3 linked regions of the Oryzias latipes genome follow. The protein of the gene in region 1 interacts with the protein of each later gene in a biochemical or structural test. Links are inferred from orthologs where the notes say so. Each region holds a gene or a part of one and is shown in the gene's direction. Other genes may lie near its edges.

Region 1 (4,233 bases):
TATCAAAAGAGTTAACCCAGATGGATCACTGTGGAACCAACTAGCAATACAGTCTGGCTGTTCAAAACATTTGTGGAAACAGATTTTGATGAGAGGCCAGACTGTTTTTTTTTAGGGTAAATCTATTGTTTACTTTTGGACTTCTTTTGAATATTAATATTAATAATAATAAATAATAATAATAATTGTTATTATTATTATTATTATTACCATTATTATTATTATTATATAATTTTTATTATTATTTATTGACTTATTATTTATTTATTGTTATTTATTGTTTGTATTGACTTACTATTGATTTATTATTAGTATTATTAGTATTATTATTATTATTATTGACGTAGTGTTGGGTTTTTCTAAATAATTTAAATTACATGTCAAAGAGGTCTAAAACTTCTAAATTTTTAGAAATTAATTTTAAAAATTCTTTCTAATAATTCTAATAATAATTTCTAATAAGAATTCCTGCAACAATGCATTTTCATTCAAGTTTGAGCTTTTAAGGCTGACTGTTTCTCTTCTTTAACAACAACAAATGATGTATCTATATATATATATTATATACATAAAATATAATGTATTTATATAAATGTATAAATATATTTAAATATAAAAATATATACAGTTTATAAAAGCTACTTAGACACCACTAAAATCACTAGAAATCAATGTTATGTGGGCGTCGTCGACCTCACCAAGATGGCGTCGCGCTCCGCCACCGTCGGCCAGGCTTCTAAAGCGGGCGTGTCTCCTCTAGTGATATAGCTCATTGCTCCAGACTCTTGGTTTCTGGACGTGACAAAGATGTGTTGAAAGACAGATGTGTCACTATGACCTGAACTATTGGCTACAGTTTTTTACAGTACATTATAAATTATTATTATTATTATTATTTTTTTACAATTTTTTACGACCTTAAAAAACTGTTATTTCAATAAAGTATGTTTTAATATTTGTTTTATGCATTTTTCTTTATTTATTTTCAAAATGTGTTTTTTTTACCAATATTATTTAAAACACACAATACTTTGATATCAGACGATTTCACATTCCTGTGTTAAGTTCAGCTTTACTTTGATGTTCCAATTTGCTGACACAAATTGTCGTTATGGATTTTAATTTATCCAACGGTTTGTATGACATACAATTTATTTATAGTGCACATTACGCACTTATTTATAGGGAAACGTAGACGGCGTTGAATTGAGAAAAAAACACAAGTAAACCAATTAGGATTATTAGTATATTTTAGATATAGTTTAAACTTTTTTAAAAAGACAAACTGAGTGACCGTTCCTTGACAATAAACTATCGTTTGCTTCAAATCTCGCGTGAAGTAAAGCAGTTTTGTGAAGTCTCGCGGTTCTGTGATAATACGTCGGGCATCTTAGTGACCAAAATAAGACTGATAACTTTGCGTAAGCGTCCAATAACTTGACATTCTGTTGTCCTTTAAACAGGTAAATAGCGTCCAGTTGACTTGTTTCATCTATTTAAGTGTTATGTTTGCGATTTCTGCAAGTTTTGACTTGTGGGAAGTCTGTTAGCATGCCTTGCTAGGCTGGATGCTAGTAGCTTATTTCTGTGTTCGGGAAGAATTTTAGTGAAAACGTCGATTTCTTTCGGGTAGTTGCGTTAATTTCTGCATTAACATGTTTAGTTCACAGCCGCAGCATGTCTGACAGCGAGGACAGTGATTTCTCCGACAACCAGAGCGAGCGCAGCAGTGACGGAGAGGCCGAGGAGGCGGAGGAGAATGAGGTAAGCTAACGGCTCGCGGGGCTAACCGGCCGGGTAAACAGGGATGGAGAGCCCGGTCAGACTGCGGCTGCGCGGGCGATGGCGCCCGTCTCTTCTCCAAAACATTTATTAAAGTCCACAAAAAGCAAATGCTTACAATCCTTCGACAGAGCTCCTCAAACAAATGAAATGCACACGAACCACTGATCAACAAATATATATATATATATATATATATATATATATATATATATGCTATATTATATCATGTCTTTTTAGGATGTGGAGTTGAAAGATTTGCTTCAGAACCAGTTTTGTAAGTCTTTTCTAGACGGTTTTATAATGAATACAATAACAGATTAAGTGATCTGTGGGTTCAATATGTCGCCATGGCAGAAAGAACATTTGTTGTCGTCCAGACTGAGTTGAACATTTTCACGCTGAATTGCTGCACTCTGACCAATCGGGGAGTTTGATTCAGAAGTGGCGTGTAGCGGTTTAGCCGTCAGGGCCTGGAGGTTCATCTGTTTTTAAGCACGTTGTAGCATTGTCCGGTTCTTGATCCAGTATGTCTTCATCTCAATGTTCCTTATCACCTTCTGTTACCTGTGGAAGAAAGTCTTTAGTTTGGTGAAGCAGTGTACGATAAACCGACACTTGATCCAAGTATGAAACAATCGTCGATGCAGCTTCCAGTCATTATCTGTTTGGAGGACATGAGGATTTAGCTGCAGGTCTTATTGTGACGGATGATTGAGTAGCGATTGAAGTTCACCTTAATGCTGTCCTGTCGGCTCTCACATCTGCTGCCGTGGCTTCACCCTTCGTCTCAGCATAAAGGTTGACCGTGTTGGTTGAGAAGCTACAGGAAGGCATGTTGTGTCTCAGCTCTAAGATGTGAAGCAACATTTGGAAACCCTCATTCTCCACCAGAATACGGTCTTAGGTCCTTTGTTTTAAAAGCTCTGACTTTGTTATTGGCTGAGCCTTTTCCGATGACGGCCGACATTTTTTTGGGATGTTTTATTGACTGTTGGAAGTGCTTGCAGCAGAACTCATGCCGGTACCACCAGAACGGTTCCTGCCCTCCTCCGGATGGAACCGCACCATGTGATTTTGAACGTTTACAAATGTACACACCGCATGACTTTAATCCAAAGCCAATAAGCTTCAGCACTGATATCTGGCCAATCGTGTCGCACGGTCTGCCGTGTTTACGCCATCTCAAAAACGTCTGATTTAAAACTCCCCACGTTTAAATTAAAATGTTTGATTATCGATTAAACTTCATAAAACTATTCTGAATTGTTTATGTATTGTAATCAAATAGGCGTCTAATAACCGATTAGTGGCTGTCCTTCTGTCACGCATCGATGAGATTTTCCTCTTCCGTAGTGATGATTATACGCTGTTGCATTCAGGCAACGTTCTTTCATTTGCTGTAATTCAGTCGGGGGAGGCAAACATGAATTCTAGTGATAATGCAGTTCTCTGCTGTTTAAACAGACGTAAGGGAGGCAGAACTCTCCAGAAATGTTGCCAGGAGCTAATCTTTTTAATATATTTCTATTTTATCTATTTACAATCTTGGAGAAAAGATTTCTTTTTCAAACAGCTTGTAGGAACTGAAACCTTTTTGCATTTGAGTTCTTTAGTTTTTGTAGCATTCTTCTTTTGTTTTTTCATGAATCATGATCAAGTTTTCATTTAGCTTTTGAACATTTTAGTCCTTTTTTTTGTAAACATTTGCTGCTGTGCATCGTCATCAGGAGGAGACGGGCAGCCCTGTGGGCAGCGACAAAGTAGCAGAGGAGGAAGGGGAGGACCTGGATGATGAGGATGATTATGATGAAGAGGAGGAAGAGGACGAGGATGATGAGCGCCCCAGGAAGAAGCCAAAGCACGGAGGGTTCATCCTGGATGAAGCTGGTGAGGCGGAGCTTCATGGAGCGCTTGCTGCTGTTCAGGGCGGAGCTTAACTTCTGCGTGTCTGTGCAGATGTGGACGATGAGGATGATGAAGACGATCATTGGGCGGATGAAGGTGAAGACATTCTGGAGAAAGGTGAGACCTGTTGCTCTGGAAATGAGGTTGAAGCGATTTCTAGAGGGACCGTCGCTGATCTTCCTCCCCTCTGAACTGATGATGCGCTGAAAGATGTTTCATCACAGGTTTGGTTTTACTGATCTAAATGGAACAAAAAGTCAAAGACTGACACAGTGAAAGACAGAGATGTGTTTGTAAAAAGCCGTGAGGAACGACGACACTTTGGCTCCTAAAGACAGAATCGGGGCGCTTGGTTCGTCTGTTTCTGCTGGTAAACGTCTGGACGCTGGAAAAAGAGTTTTTCAGACTTTAGGCGAAATCACAGAAAGTTTCAGTGGAATCTGCGTTCATGTGGTGTAAAGAGGCTCCATGCTGCTCCACACTGTAGAAAACGTTCACAGGAGCTCTAATGTGGACTTTTACTCTGACCTGCAACTTGTCCTC
Region 2 (3,275 bases), on another chromosome or scaffold:
ACTACAACCAATTACAAGATTTTCTTCCATTTAGATAGAAATTATATTTCAGATGAGTAGACTAATATAATGTTAATATTTTAAATTCTGGGGATTGAATTGTGACTGGCTTTCACAGTCGAAGTTCAGCTGAAACGTAACATTTTCTGTCTTTGAGTTTGCTCAGATACTGCAGATTCTTTTCAGAAATGATTTTCCATGTTAAATGAAAGTATAAATGCTAGATTACTAAATAAAAGATCAAATTATTTGTCTCCTTTGATCACTTAACTAAAGTTAAGTGAACCCATTGCTGTTGTGTGTTTGAATCTATGGGGTGCTGCAGCTGTACATTTTTGCTCAGAGTTAAACACATTAGTGGAGGATTTGTGTTATACTTTTACATGAAAAGTGCTACATAAATAAAGTTTGATTGATTAATATTTCATTTGCAAGCTGTTACACAAGTGGGCCAGTGAGGTAACAGAAAGCTGTCCATGAGCTATGAACTAGTGGAAAGAAGCCATAAATGAGTGCTGCTCGGTTAGACTTGGCTCCAATGGGAGGAAACATCTGAGAGTTTTGTTCCTCTTAACGTGACTGTTTGCTCCGTTTTCCCCAACTGCTTCCTTAGGTGGTACCGCTCCCCTGAGCTCCTGTTTGGTGCCAGGATGTATGGGGTTGGCGTTGACATGTGGGCGGTGGGATGCATCCTGGCAGAGTTGCTTCTTCGGGTACATAAACTTCACATAAATATCCATCCATTGCGCTGATCTATTAAATGATTGTCTCCCCCTCTGCAGATACCATTCCTTGCTGGAGACTCTGATCTCGATCAGCTGACCAAAATCTTCGAGGCTCTTGGAACCGCCACAGATGAAACATGGCCTGTTGGTTTCAGTTTTTTTTTTCCTTTATATATCAGATGAGACTGTCCTAAGAGAGGTAAAACTCCTTGCGAACATCTGTTTGTCAACCGTCTCTGCAGGGAATGAGTAGTCTGCCAGACTTTGTGTCCTTCAAGATATTTCCTGGCACACCGCTGGAACATATATTTAGTGCAGCTGGGGATGATTTACTTGAGCTACTACAGGGCCTCTTTACCTTCAACCCCACAACCAGGACCACAGCCACACAGGTAAATGCCATGTTACAGTGCAGCTGCTCCTCTTCATTTAAAAAAAAAAATTGTGCCAGTTTTATTAAGATCATGTTGTTTAAAAAAGTTTGTTTAAATCTAAAAACCAGAAATAAAAGATCTTTAGAACATGCTTCATTAAAGGTAGCAGGTTTATTTTACGCTGAATTATATGGCTTCACAATAAAACGTATTCTGTAAATGTCAAATTAGGTTTTCTTTTTATATTTCTTTTAAGAATCAAAAAAGATGAAGACACAGAAAAACACTTTTGGATTTTTCATGAGAGGATTTATTTTGTAAAACCACACATAATATATATGGAAACAAGTATGAGAGGCACAGCAGTGATACCTGCAGATATAGTGTACATCCATTGTTGTTTGTTTTGTTTTGCCCAGGCTCTAAAGATGAAGTACTTCAGTAATCGGCCTGGACCCACACCGGGTCCACAGCTCCCCAGACCAAACTGCTCGGCTGAGGCTTTGAGGGAAAAGGAAACTGTTGGGCTAAAGAGGAAAATTGAAGGCCTTGAAACAAGTAAAGATCGATTTATGACTTCTTTTTATATTTATAGTCTTAAGTTCATCCTTAATCCTCTAAAGACCACCCTGAGCCAGATTTACCGATATTTGTGTAATAAACAAAGATCACCTGTACATATCTTTGATATTTATTTATTCTGTTGGTGTGAGCAGCACGTTTGGGTCTAAAAGAGTTCCTAAATGTCCCGTGAAAGCCCAAACTTCAGAAAGAATAGTAAATAGTTTGGCTTCTCACAGTCCACATGGTAACCTTTAAAAGGCAGCATACCTCTAAACCAAACCCAGCCATTTAGTGGGTGTTGGCTGAGTTAAAGTTAGAAGTTCAGAATATGGTAGAGCAAACACTGCAGTTCAGTGAGTGGTGGGGAGGGCTGGTTTCTTGGTGAAACTGGGAGGTTCAAAGCCTGTTTTGTGCTCCTCCTGTGGTTTGGATAATGACTACATATTCTCTGGTCTGCTCTATCCTGTCTCAAAGAGACTTTCAGAAAGAACACTGTAGATAAAAACTCTGGACTTTTAGCATGTGAATGCATAGAAAAGAAAACGGACTTGATGTCAAGTGGTTGTATCTATAAATGCTTTACTTTAATTAATTTAACATGTTGTTTGTTTTTTTATTTTCAGCCGTAATGAAGAAGAAGCTCGTTTTCTGACCAGAAGTGATTCACAGACGGGAGGGAATGTCTACAACGAGATGTGGCTTCTTGCTTTACTCAGGACTGTTTCCTGGATGGAACAGAAAGCAGCTTAAAAGCAGATGATGCTGTCTCTGTGGCATAACACCTCAAGGTGCTGCAGCATCCAGCAGTACTAAGGTGCAACAGAGACTGTAGTCAGAACCGTTGGTTCTGGTTCTTCATGATGCCTAAACTTTGGGACTGTGATAAAATATTTTTATTAATGTTACTTGAGTTTAAAACAAGTAGGCTACCAGACTCACTCCCTGCACATGGATGTTATTTTTATTTTTTCTATGTTAAACCAATAAATAGTAAATAAGCAGATAAAATATACTTTGTCTTTTTTTCCCCCCCAGTTCCTTCACATAAAATGATTAAATACAAAATACTGTATTTTCAGAGTTTAGCATAGTTTGGCGTGCTGGTGCGACTTATACTCTGGTGCGACTTATGTGTGATTCAATTAAAAAAAATAGCAACAACCACTAGAGGGCACTATATATGTGTGTGGATCAGTATTTAATACTGAAGAAGTCTTACGCCGGGCTCGATGAAGTTGTTCAGAAGCGACACAGAAATTCAAGAGACTTAGTTATTTGAAGTGATATAAAGAGTTTAGTTGACTTTTTAGCATCTTATTTTTGCTATGGTTATCTAATTGGTCATTTGTTGTCCTTCTTTCTCTTTCGGCTTTTCCCATCAGGGGTCGCCACAGCGAATCATCCTTTTCCACCTCACTCTATCATGAACATCTTCTACCCTAACGTTAGCCAACTTCATGTCCTCTGTTAAGACATCCATGTATCTCCTCTTTGGCCGTCCTCTTGCCCTCCTGCCAGGCAGCTCCATCTCCAACATCCTTCTACCAATATATCCACTATCCCTCCTCTGAACATGTCCAAACCATCTCAGTCTGGCTTCTCTGACTTTGTC
Region 3 (2,735 bases), on another chromosome or scaffold:
TTAGGTAAACGCCGCAAACCGCTGAGGAACGCTGGAAACGTGGAATTTAAACATTAGAATGTCGTCTTTCAGGGCTTTGTGCAAAAACGGAACATTCCTGCTGTTGTCTTGGTGATTTCACATTTATGTTGTTGGAAAGTAAATCTGCAGCAGATCAGCAAAAAAAGAAAGATGGGACCAAACGACAAGAAAAAAGCCTTCATAGTATATATTTAAGTACTTGTACACACATCACATCCAAGCATTTGTTCATCGAGGTCTATTTATTAAACATTACCGACCTTTGAACTCACGATATTCCCATTGTAAAAAACCACCCAGATCCAGGAAGTCTTCTGGTTCATCTGGGAAACGACAAAAGAATATTTAAAAACGGAGCAACGATGTCCGGCTTTACCACCTTCCCTGCTGCTACCAGCCCGTCGCACTGGGACAGACAGCAGCGTCTTTGTCCCGCCACGGCGCCAGGACAACAAGCCTTCAAACTGGGTCACGGCGGTACCGCTGAACGCCACTGTACACGCGTGTGCCGGACCATGGCAGGGATCCGTGTGGATCGGGGATCAGAAATAAAAGCCGTGTTTGGACACGGCTCAGTGTTTCAGGATGTCTGGTAGAAATCCAGCGTTGCAGTCTAGAAAACAGATCCGGGTCAACGACACCAAGAGGTCCGGTTATTCATCCGGTTATCCGTGACACATGTTGGAGCCTAAAGCTTCCTGTGCGTTTATGGACCGGTAACCATCTTGTGCTGTATCACTGTGAAGCAGTACTATGGAGAGTGTTTAGTAGTAATATTATGCGTGGTGACGACGCGACTCCAGTCGTTCATTTGTGAAATGATTTTTTTTAAAAAGTGACGTGACTGGATTCAGGGTTTGGGGCCAGAATGGAGGATTGACTGAGCTGGGAGTGAAGAAACAAGAGAACCAAAAGGTTTTAACGGACACTTTCTGCTTCAGTACTTCAGACGTAGATCGGTTTCTACATTTGAACTTGTTACAAGAAGAACCAGACCTAATAGAAATGTCGTCTTCCAGACATGAGGAGTGTCTGTCACTGATCATGTAAATATATGTGCACAGCTGTAAAATTAAAAAATGCGGACTGTAAATACTTTTCACAGCTCTGGTTTGGGGCTCCTATGCGACCCAGATGCTGCATGGCCCCTTTTTGCGGCCCCGACTCCTGCAGAAACGGTTCCGGAAAACGACGCGGGTTTCAGGTTACATGGCTGAAAACGTCGTGGTCGTCAGGGAAACGGGTCTTTAGAGGCTGACGAGTCGAGAAGCAGACGGCTTCAACAGGAAACCAATCGCGTTCCTGTTCTCCTTCCCTGCAGGGGAGCGCGACTACGGCCCCCCCATCGATCTGTGGGGGGCGGGCTGCATCATGGCGGAGATGTGGACCAGAAGTCCCATCATGCAAGGCAACACGGAGCAGCACCAGCTCACCCTGATCAGCCAGCTGTGTGGCTCCATCACTGCAGAGGCGAGTGGTCTTTGGGGGCGGGGCTCTGCGTTGCAGCAGCTCGCTGTCAATCATTTCTGTTTCTCCAGGTGTGGCCCGGCGTGGACAAAAAGTATGAACTGTACCAGAAAATGGAGCTTCCCAAAGGCCAGAAGAGGAAGGTCAAGGACCGCCTCAAAGCCTACGTGAAGGACGCCTACGCCCTGGATCTCATCGACAAGCTGCTGGTTCTGGACCCGGCTCAGCGCATAGACAGCGACGACGCCCTGAACCACGACTTCTTCTGGTCCGACCCCATGCCCTCAGACCTCAAGAACATGCTGTCCACTCACAACACGTCCATGTTTGAGTACCTGGCCCCGCCCAGACGGAGGGGGCACATCCCCCAACAGCAGCCCAACCAGAACCGAAACCCGGCCACGACCAGTCAGACGGAGTTCGACCGAGTCTTTTAGCCCCACTGGACGTCTTGGACCGAGTTTGACCGGAGACTCTGCTGTGAGGCCAGTTATGATCAAACGTTCAGGTTTTATGGGATCAGGAATGAAACGGACAGAAATGCTCCTTTATCCAGAATCTGGTAGCTTTTTCAGTTGAACTGATTGTTTTCATTCAAATGTTCTTTGTAATAAAGCAACACAATCGTGAACATTTATGGAAACGTCTGAATGCAAAGCAGGAAAGTGGTTTTTACTTGTGTGAGTCGGTTAGAGAGGAAGTGACGATGAGAGCCGCAGACACTAAACCCTCTGAGCTTTTGACTTAAACGCCGTCATTGTTCCTTTGGGATGTTTAGGAGGGGGAGGAGCTACCTGGATTCATGGTTTGTGGCATGTTCTACAATTGAGCCAGAAGGAAAACTAACGTGTTTGTTTACATGTGGAAGCACGTAAACATGGAAACCCCTGAAGGTAATTGGGTCCAACGACCCGGAAAACGGTTGACTGAGCCAGACCGCAGTACAGGACCGTTGTAGGTCTGTGTATTCCCGGCTGGATTCTGATGAGACCGTTTAGCGTGACGGCATCAGAACGCGACGTCTTTATTCCATCATGGATGGACGTGTGCACGGAAGAGCAAAGCCACAAACCTGAGAGGACGGACAGAGCAGAGGCTGTTCAGTCTAAGGGCTGCTCAGCAGACCCACCGGCTGCAGGAAAAGGCTTCCTGAGTGAGGTCGGTCAGAGATCTGCTGCGGCGGCGTTGGATTCAGAGACCGGAAGAAGACGAGGGTCGACACTGGAACATCTGTTCCCAGGACGAAG

What was found.
Region 2: of the proteins of supt5h (region 1) and cdk7, one has a biochemical effect on the other in vitro, tested with the Homo sapiens proteins (2 studies listed by BioGRID, with this or other methods). The link is inferred for Oryzias latipes from reciprocal best matches to the Homo sapiens genes SUPT5H and CDK7.
Region 3: of the proteins of supt5h (region 1) and cdk9, one has a biochemical effect on the other in vitro, tested with the Homo sapiens proteins (4 studies listed by BioGRID, with this or other methods). The link is inferred for Oryzias latipes from reciprocal best matches to the Homo sapiens genes SUPT5H and CDK9.

Annotation. Positions count from the first base shown.
Region 1 is NC_019871.2:945,306-949,538, forward strand, and holds the start of supt5h (transcription elongation factor SPT5), read left to right. Parts: upstream 1-1,326; 5' UTR 1,327-1,463; intron 1,464-1,663; 5' UTR 1,664-1,677; coding exon 1,678-1,764; intron 1,765-3,512; coding exon 3,513-3,672; intron 3,673-3,741; coding exon 3,742-3,807; intron 3,808-4,233. UniProt on the Homo sapiens protein: Component of the DRB sensitivity-inducing factor complex (DSIF complex), which regulates mRNA processing and transcription elongation by RNA polymerase II.
Region 2 is NC_019867.2:13,791,472-13,794,746, forward strand, and holds the end of cdk7 (cyclin-dependent kinase 7), read left to right. Parts: intron 1-613; coding exon 614-713; intron 714-782; coding exon 783-869; intron 870-967; coding exon 968-1,117; intron 1,118-1,518; coding exon 1,519-1,657; intron 1,658-2,286; coding exon 2,287-2,315; 3' UTR 2,316-2,671; downstream 2,672-3,275. UniProt on the Homo sapiens protein: Serine/threonine kinase involved in cell cycle control and in RNA polymerase II-mediated RNA transcription. Cyclin-dependent kinases (CDKs) are activated by the binding to a cyclin and mediate the progression through the cell cycle.
Region 3 is NC_019870.2:30,294,862-30,297,596, reverse strand, and holds the end of cdk9 (cyclin-dependent kinase 9), read left to right. Parts: coding exon 1-4; intron 5-1,342; coding exon 1,343-1,491; intron 1,492-1,559; coding exon 1,560-1,925; 3' UTR 1,926-2,131; downstream 2,132-2,735. UniProt on the Homo sapiens protein: Protein kinase involved in the regulation of transcription.